Ovis aries: one gene and its partner. The protein of the gene in region 1 interacts with the protein of each later gene in a pairwise test. Links are inferred from orthologs where the notes say so. Each region holds a gene or a part of one and is shown on either strand. Other genes may lie near its edges.

Region 1 (3,594 bases):
GACCGTGGTACTGCACCTCTGTAACCTGCCACAAGCCAGTGAGAGGGAGAAGCTGGGGTAAGGGTGGGGAACTGGGGCCCCATCTGGAACACACAGCCCAGGCCCACCCCACCCTGGAGCACCCTCACCTTCCCATAAGCTGTCCACAGCCCGTTTCCCAAGGCACGGCAGAGCTGGTCTTCCTGGCTCCTGAACTGTCAAGTGTCTGTTTCACAAAATAAAACCTGACCTCACAGCCCCAGCTGGCAGCACAGACCAAGGCTTCATCTTTCCAACCAAGCCCCAGGCTCCTGCATCCACTCATCTTGACCTGAAACCCTCCCAGGCAGAAGAGCAGGCAAACATGCCTGTTAGAACACTTGATGCTCATATCTCAGTTAAAAAGATTTGTGGTTAAGGGGTCAGGAGTACTAGAAAAAGATTTGAAAGGAAATCCCCATACCTGAATCATGTCAGAGGTGTCTATAGTGAGACCCGGGGAATCCCAGACAGTTAAAAGAGAAATAGGCTTTTACCAACCAATAGATTTTAATATTAGTTATCAGTTCCACATACACACAGCCCCCACCTCCTTAGAAAACAAGCCCCTGGGAGCTGAGCCCCAGAGCAGGGTGAGTGTCACCCACATGGGAGAAGCTGTAATTCCGGAGAAAATGATCGCCAGATCAGGAAGGGCTTTCAGCCCCAAAGGAAATAAGAAGTCCAGCCATCCCCAGGGGCAGCCAGGAGCCCATCCCAGGCAGAGGGACCAAGTCTTTGCGTGGGAAGAGGCCCACGCTGAGCCAGAGGTGCTGGGATATGGACTTCCCAGTGAGAACAGAAACTCAACAGCAAACGCCACAAACGGGGAAGAAGCCGGCGACGCCGATGTCACAGCAGCTTGCGGCTTGGCCTCACCCCAAGAGGGATGGCTGCAGCGGCCAGACCCCGCCCCATAGGGCGGCCAGCTCCGGCTTGGGGAGACTGCGATCGCCCCGCAGCCGCCCCGCAGCCGGGATGGGAACTGAGAAAAGCTGGTGGGCAGGCAAGGAGGGAAGTGTGCAGTGCAGACCACCAGCCGCCTCCTTGGCCTGGGAAAGGGCGCAGCAGCAGGCCAACTGCTGGTGGTGAAACCTCTACCCGCCCCAACCCCGCCCCCCGCCACTTCCTCCTCCAAGAAGGCCCGGCATCCGCCAGGGGGCGACAGCGGGCGAGTGGGGGGAGCAGGTGGCGGGTGAGCGCCCGCCCCAGCGAGGGGCCAGTGCCTCAGTTGGCCTGGCTGCACTGCCGGATCTGATGAGTGGCAAACAGCTTCCGGACTCCCGCGGCCTCCGCGGGCTTTCCCAGTGTCATCGGGCAGTTCTCCTTATTTTCTTCGCTGTCCAGCACGGCGGGCTGACCCGAGGGCTTCTTGAAGTAGCACAGGCGGCACACAGAGTGGTACTTGTCTGCTCCTCCAATGACCTCGACCTGACGTGCGGTGCGACAGGAAGCGCCTGGACTGAGCGGGGCTGGGGCGCAGCGCCCCACCCCTCGCCTCTGGGAGAAGGCAGGGGGCGGCTACTTCCTTCTCCATACCCAGCCTCTAGGTGTAGGCGCCCCTCCCTGCCCCCCACCCGCCCATCCCTTGGAGAAGGCAGGGGGCAGCTACCTCCTTTTCCACGCCCAGCCTCTTGGTGTAGGCGGCCTCTCGGAAGCACTCCATGCACACCGCCGTCAGCTTGACCACGCTCTCTGCCAGGGGCACCAGGTTCAGGATGGTCCCAAAAGCCTGTACAATCCACAGAAAGAGGAGTGCACACTCATTTCGCCGGGTGGGCTTTTCCTGGAGACCCTGACTCACACCCCTGAAGCCAGGAAACTAAGCCTGGACCTTGCCTTTCCCCAGAGCACCTGCCCTAGGCAGGTGGAGTCAGGGGCACCCCAGGGAGCTGGGACTGGCTGGCCTGAGTGCCTGGGCTTAGGCATGGTGTGGGCATCAAGGGCGCCCTGGGCTGTCCATTTCTGTGCGCTGCCTGGGCCTCTGTCCCCGGTCCCACCCCAAGACCTGGACCAGACACTTCACCTTCCTCTGAAAGGTCCCATCCAGTGCAGCCACGATGACGGTCTTCCCTGAGTTGGCCATGTTCTCGCAGAACTCCACAATGTCAGGGAACTAGAGGAAAGGGTGAGAGGCGGAGGAGGGAGTGAGCTTCCGCCCTGGGCAGCCCCTTCCAGGAGCTGCAGACACGCTGCCAGGCCCAGGAGCTACAGCTACCTGCATCCACGTGGAGCTGAGAACAAGGCCGCGCCAGCCCTCCCATCTGGTACACGGCCTGCACATCCACAGCTTCCCGACTCACTCCCCCATCGCACCAACTTTCCACAGCAGAGCCAGGCTGCGCTCCAGGCTAGGCGCCTGGAACTGCCACCAGGGTGATGCAACCCAGGTGGAGAGGCCGTCTGCCACTGCAGTGGACCAAAGCTTGGATCCGCTGCCTCAGGCTTGAACCAGGTTCTCCGTTGGACCCATTAGCTGTGACCCTGGCAATGACTTCATGTTCCTGAGCCCAGGAAAAGGCAAGGAAGGCCCCTGGCGATGTTTAAGGATTAAGGACACGCAAATAATTTATTACATATGCTATCTGGCTGAGAGGCAGGCTCTGTGTGTTTGCTTTTATTTTTTTCTTCTTTTAAACATAATGTGCCGTGTGATGCCTGGAGAAGGGGCAGGAGTTCCACTGGCCACTTACAGAGCAGGATGGCTCAACACACCACCCGTGGGAAGTCCTTACTTGGTAAATCAAATTTCATTTCAAGTGGCCCAAGGGGCCACTACTTAAACAAATCCTTTGGTGACCTTTCACTGGTCAATCATCTATCTGGTCTGTGGGTTGGATGAAGTGGGGAGTTCCAGTGTTTGGGCAAAGGGTCTCTCTCCAAGCTACTCGTGGAGATGCGTAGTTACAAAACCCGAGGGCTCACCCAGACAAGGACCAGGACAGGGCTTAGAGAACCCAAACCAGTTCCAGCAGGATTCACCAAAGCCAGATCTGACTGGCCTCTGCAGGGTTTGCAGGGTTTGCAGGGTCTGCCGAGCCTGCACTATGGAAATGGCACCTCCCACCCCTAGGCTCCAGCCTGGCTCTAGGTGAGGCCCCTCCTTTTCTCTAAAGGACTTGTCACAGGTCACAGAAATGCAGCCGCTAGCCTGTAAGGACCTGTCGGCCAGTGCCCCGACCCGACCCCCATTGTCACAAACAAAACTGTTTCTAGACACTGCCAGAAATCCACGGGGAAGGTTGAGAGCAGAACCACCCTGGGAGGAGCACCTTCTTCATCTTACCTTCCCTGTCCAGACATGGTCCCTCCACACCAGGGTTTGGGGACCGCGAGGGGTCCTCCACCCTGCCTGCTACAGTGATGCCCGCGGTCAGAGAGCTCAGTTCTTCCACCTGAACTTTGCGCCCTGTTCACATGCCACCCCACTCTCTGCCCAAACACTGAACCCAGGGCCTGCAGCAGGGGTTCCTGAATGATCGAGGTACAGTCAGAGCTGCCCAGCAGGGGTTCCTGAATGATCCAAGGTACAGTCAGAGCTGCCCACGTTGTCTGCAACATCGCAGAAGGCCCACT
Region 2 (3,941 bases), on another chromosome or scaffold:
TTCCCGGCACCGCTCTGGCCTGCCAGAGGGAAAGGACAGTATCAGACGCCAACACTTCAGTAAGGAATTCCAAACTCTGTCTTCCTGGCTCTGAACTAACTTTAGAGATGAAAGATCCTTCTTTATCAGAAAGACTGTCTACCTACAGAAAAGTTTTCTATGTATCAGTGATCTCAGAAACACTGAAGATCTAATACAACAAAAGATTTAGTTCATAAGATGTTATTAATTAAGAAGATAGTTTAACAAAACCCAACTGGTTTAAAACTAGAACCTTCTGTAAATTCTTATTGATAAATCAACTGCTGTGAGCTGGCAGGGTGGAAGCACCCAGTGTCAGAGGGCCGGCTCAGCTTCTGCTCACAACCTGCGCCTTTGGCTTTGGCTTCTTGAAGAGGATGCCTGTTGTCACGGGTCCTCCGAAATGACCGGCGGCCTGTGAACTGCCGCTGGAAGCTTCCCTTCACTCTGTTCTGTTCTGCAGTGGGAGGGCTGCAGCAGCCTCTGCAGGCTGACCCTGGCCTTTGAGCTGTGTGGACAGGGGCCAGAGAGCTGACAGCCCATGGACCAGGAACAGTGAGGCTGGGACTCGGGGCCTCTGTGGACACACAGCCTCCCCCAGGCACCCAGCAGTGACCCCCATGGCATCAGGAGGAAAGGGGCCCACTGAGCCAGGGCCCACACATCACCCCTACATACCAAACACGAAGTTGTCGGGCCTGAAGATCTGGCCGAAGGGTCCAGACCTGACGGAGTCCATGGTGCCCGGCTCCAGGTCCACCAGGATGGCCCGAGGCACATACTTGTTACCTGCAGGGACAGAGCAGGACTCAGACCTGGCGCTTGCAGAGCAGTCAGGCAACGCCTTGCTCTCTGTGCCTCTCCAGGCAGAGCTCATCCCAGAAAATTCCAGCAAGAGATTAGAGGAGGTTTCTGCTCTACAAAGGGAGGTGAGGGCCTGCCCGGTCATGACCCGAATGCAGGGGACTTCAGGGGCTCTGAGGGTGTTCTGAGCAGCTGACATTTAAATGCACGCAGGAAGCCTTTGTTGTGTGTGTGTTCCTGCTACACTGGGGCTGCCAGAGAGCGGAACGGGAGAGGGGCCTGAGCCTGCGGCAGTCCTCACCAGCAGCCTCGTTGTAGTACACGTTGATTCTCTCCAGCTGCAAGTCACTGTCTCCATGGTAACTGCCAGTGGGGTCGATGCCATGCTCATCGCTGATGACTTCCCAAAACTGGAGATGGAGAAAGAAGCACGTGATGGTCTGGCATCCTAGGTGTCAGCACGACGGCCCTTCCCTTCCTCTCCCGTCCTTGGAACAGTGGCACTGTGGTCAGACAGGCCAGCAGCTGCCGCCCTGTTCCTCCAGCAAGCTTCTGCGGAGGGGCTCGGGGATGCGCAGAGCATCAGCTATGTCAGGGAGATAGACTGGGAAGCAGGGAGGGGCCCTGGAGGAGGAGGGGGGCACGGCTGCGGATGCTCTGGAGGCTGGGCCCCCAGGCAGGGCTGGGCGTCAGCATCCCAGCGGATGGACGGGTCCTGGCAGGACCCAGGACAGGTGGACCCCGCCCTGCGGCTGCCTGCAGAGATCGCCGTGTCCTGGCGCAAACCTGACCGGCCCTCCAAGCAGCGCCGCGTTAGGCGCGGGCATCCGCCGGGCTCCTGGGTCACTGACTGCAGAGGCGGAATGGGGGGGTGAGGGGCAGGGTGCAGCGTGCGTCTGCAGTAGGAAAGGCAGGGGGCGGGTGGGCAATATGGCGGTTGTGAAAGAGACCACGTCCTTGTGCGGGCGCCCGCCCACACCCGGGCACCCGGCCCGCGGGGCCTCGCCCACTGCGGCGGCTCGGCCCGGGGCGGCCACCTGCCGCCGCGCCCACGGCAGTCAGACTCTGGCGTCACCCGCCACCCCGTCTGGATGGTGCACCGCGTCTGTCGGACCCACGAGAACCCTCCGGAGCATCTGTCACCCAATGACACTGCAGTTTTTTCATTCGCACTGCAGACAATATCCGCAAAATGAATTCCGCAGGGGGCCACGGGATCTTCACGACCAAAGCCCCCACCCAAATCTCAGAGGCTAATCTACCGGGGAGGTACCAACCGCGTCCCTCACAAGGGCTTAGGCCGGGGCCGTAATTAAAGACCCACAGCTGCGCAGCCCTGAGCATCAGTGCGGGCTGTGAGGCGCCCGGCCCCGCCCCGCCCTGCGCCCGCGCTCCTCCCGGGGGTCAGCTCCCTACCCGGCCCCGCTGCGGCCCCGGCGCGCACCCAGGGGACCCGCCGCCCCCTCTCTGTCCCTCCAGGGTCCCCGCCCTCGGGCCCTGCCGACCCTCCCCGCCCCCTCCTGGTCCCACACCCTGGGGACCCGCCGCCCCCTCTCTGTCCCTCCGGGGCTCCCACCCGCGGCCCCCTCCCCGGCCCCCCGGGACCCCAGACTTCGGGCCCCGCGGCCCCCTCCCCGCCCCCTCCTTGGTCTTCTCTCTGGGGACCCGCCGCCCCTTCTCCGTCCCTCCGGGACCCCCGCCCTCCGGCCCCGCCGCCCCCTCCCCGGGGGTCAGCTCCCTCCCCGGCCCCTCTCCGGCCCCAAGCACAGCCTGGGGACCCGCCGCCCCCTCTCTGTCGCTCCAGGGCCCCCGCCCTCGGGCCCCGCCGCCCCTCGGCCCCGCGCCCACCTTGGCGCCGATCTGGTTGCCGCACTGGCCCGCCTGGATGTGCACGATCTCGCGCATGGTGCCGGCTGCGGAGCGGGTGGAGGCGCGGGCCTGGACGGAGTGCGGACCGGCGGACTCGGCGCAGACCCCGCCGCCGCCGCCCGGGCCGCGCCTTTTAAGGCGGGGGCCCCGCCCCTGTGACGTCACGGCGGGGGCGGCGCGGGGACTGCGGCACCGCGAGGGGGAGCCGGGGCGCGGCGCGAGGTGCGGGCGGCCGGGCGCGCGCGGGGGCCCGGTGGGGCGCGTTCCCGTCCCCGGGCCTGTCCGGGCCGTCGGCCTCCGGCTCTTTCTTCCCGGGGTGGGGATCACGGCGGCTGTAAACGCCGGGAGGGGGTGCAGGGCGGGGGGAGTGGGGGTCCCCGGCCGGGGCTGAGGATGGCCGTCTCGGTGCGGGGCTGCTGGGGGGGCCCTTTCGCCCCCGCCCACGTTAGGAAGGTGCTCAGCTGGGGAGGAACTAGGAAAAGCCGCCGCCGGGCGCCGGCTGTCCTGTCAAGGCCGCTTAATGTGGAAAATTCCCTGTGTGTGTCCCCACGGCCTCCTTATGGAGCTTGACGTTGTGTGTGTGTGTGTCTGTGTCTCTGTGTGTCTGTGTCTGTCTGTCTGTGTCTGTGTGTGTGTCTGTCTGTGTGTCTGTGTGTGTCTGTGTGTGTGTCTGTGTGTGTGTCTGTGTGTCTGTGTGTGTGTGTGTGTCTGTGTGTGTGTCTGTGTGTCTGTGTGTGTGTCTGTCTGTGTCTCTGTGTGTGTGTCTGTGTGTGTCTGTGTGTCTGTGTCTGTGTGTCTGTGTCTCTGTGTGTGTCTGTGTGTCTGCGTGTGTGTGTGTCTGTCTGTCTGTCTGTGTCTGTGTGTGTGTCTGTGTCTGTGTCTGTGTGTGTCTGTGTGTCTGTGTCTGTGTCTGTGTGTGTGTGTCTGTCAGTGTCTCTGTGTGTGTCTGTGTGTGTGTGTCTGTGTCTCTGTGTGTGTGTGTCTGTGTGTCTGTGTCTGTGTGTGTGTGTCTCTGTGTGTGTGTCTGTCAGTGTCTCTGTGTGTGTCTGTGTGTCTGCGTGTGTGTGTGTCTGTGTGTCTGTGTGTGTGTCTGTGTCTGTGTCTGTGTGTGTGTCTGTCTGTGTCTCTGTGTGTGTGTCTGTGTGTGTCTGTGTGTCTGTGTCTGTGTGTTTGTGTCTCTGTGTGTGTGTCTGTCAGTGTCTCTGTGTGTGTCTGTGTGTGTGTGTGTCTGTCTGTCTGTGTGTGTG

What was found.
Region 2: the proteins of TK1 (region 1) and tubulin beta-2A chain interact in a two-hybrid assay, tested with the Homo sapiens proteins (2 studies listed by BioGRID and IntAct). The link is inferred for Ovis aries from reciprocal best matches to the Homo sapiens genes TK1 and TUBB2A.

The regions. Positions count from the first base shown.
Region 1 is NC_056064.1:53,319,803-53,323,396, reverse strand, and holds the end of TK1 (thymidine kinase, cytosolic), read right to left. Parts: intron 2,135-3,594; coding exon 2,045-2,134; intron 1,751-2,044; coding exon 1,631-1,750; intron 1,450-1,630; coding exon 1,246-1,449; 3' UTR 510-1,245; downstream 1-509. UniProt on the Homo sapiens protein: Cell-cycle-regulated enzyme of importance in nucleotide metabolism. Catalyzes the first enzymatic step in the salvage pathway converting thymidine into thymidine monophosphate.
Region 2 is NC_056073.1:49,644,181-49,648,121, reverse strand, and holds the start of tubulin beta-2A chain, read right to left. Parts: upstream 2,803-3,941; 5' UTR 2,731-2,802; coding exon 2,674-2,730; intron 1,236-2,673; coding exon 1,127-1,235; intron 811-1,126; coding exon 700-810; intron 20-699; coding exon 1-19. UniProt on the Homo sapiens protein: Tubulin is the major constituent of microtubules, a cylinder consisting of laterally associated linear protofilaments composed of alpha- and beta-tubulin heterodimers.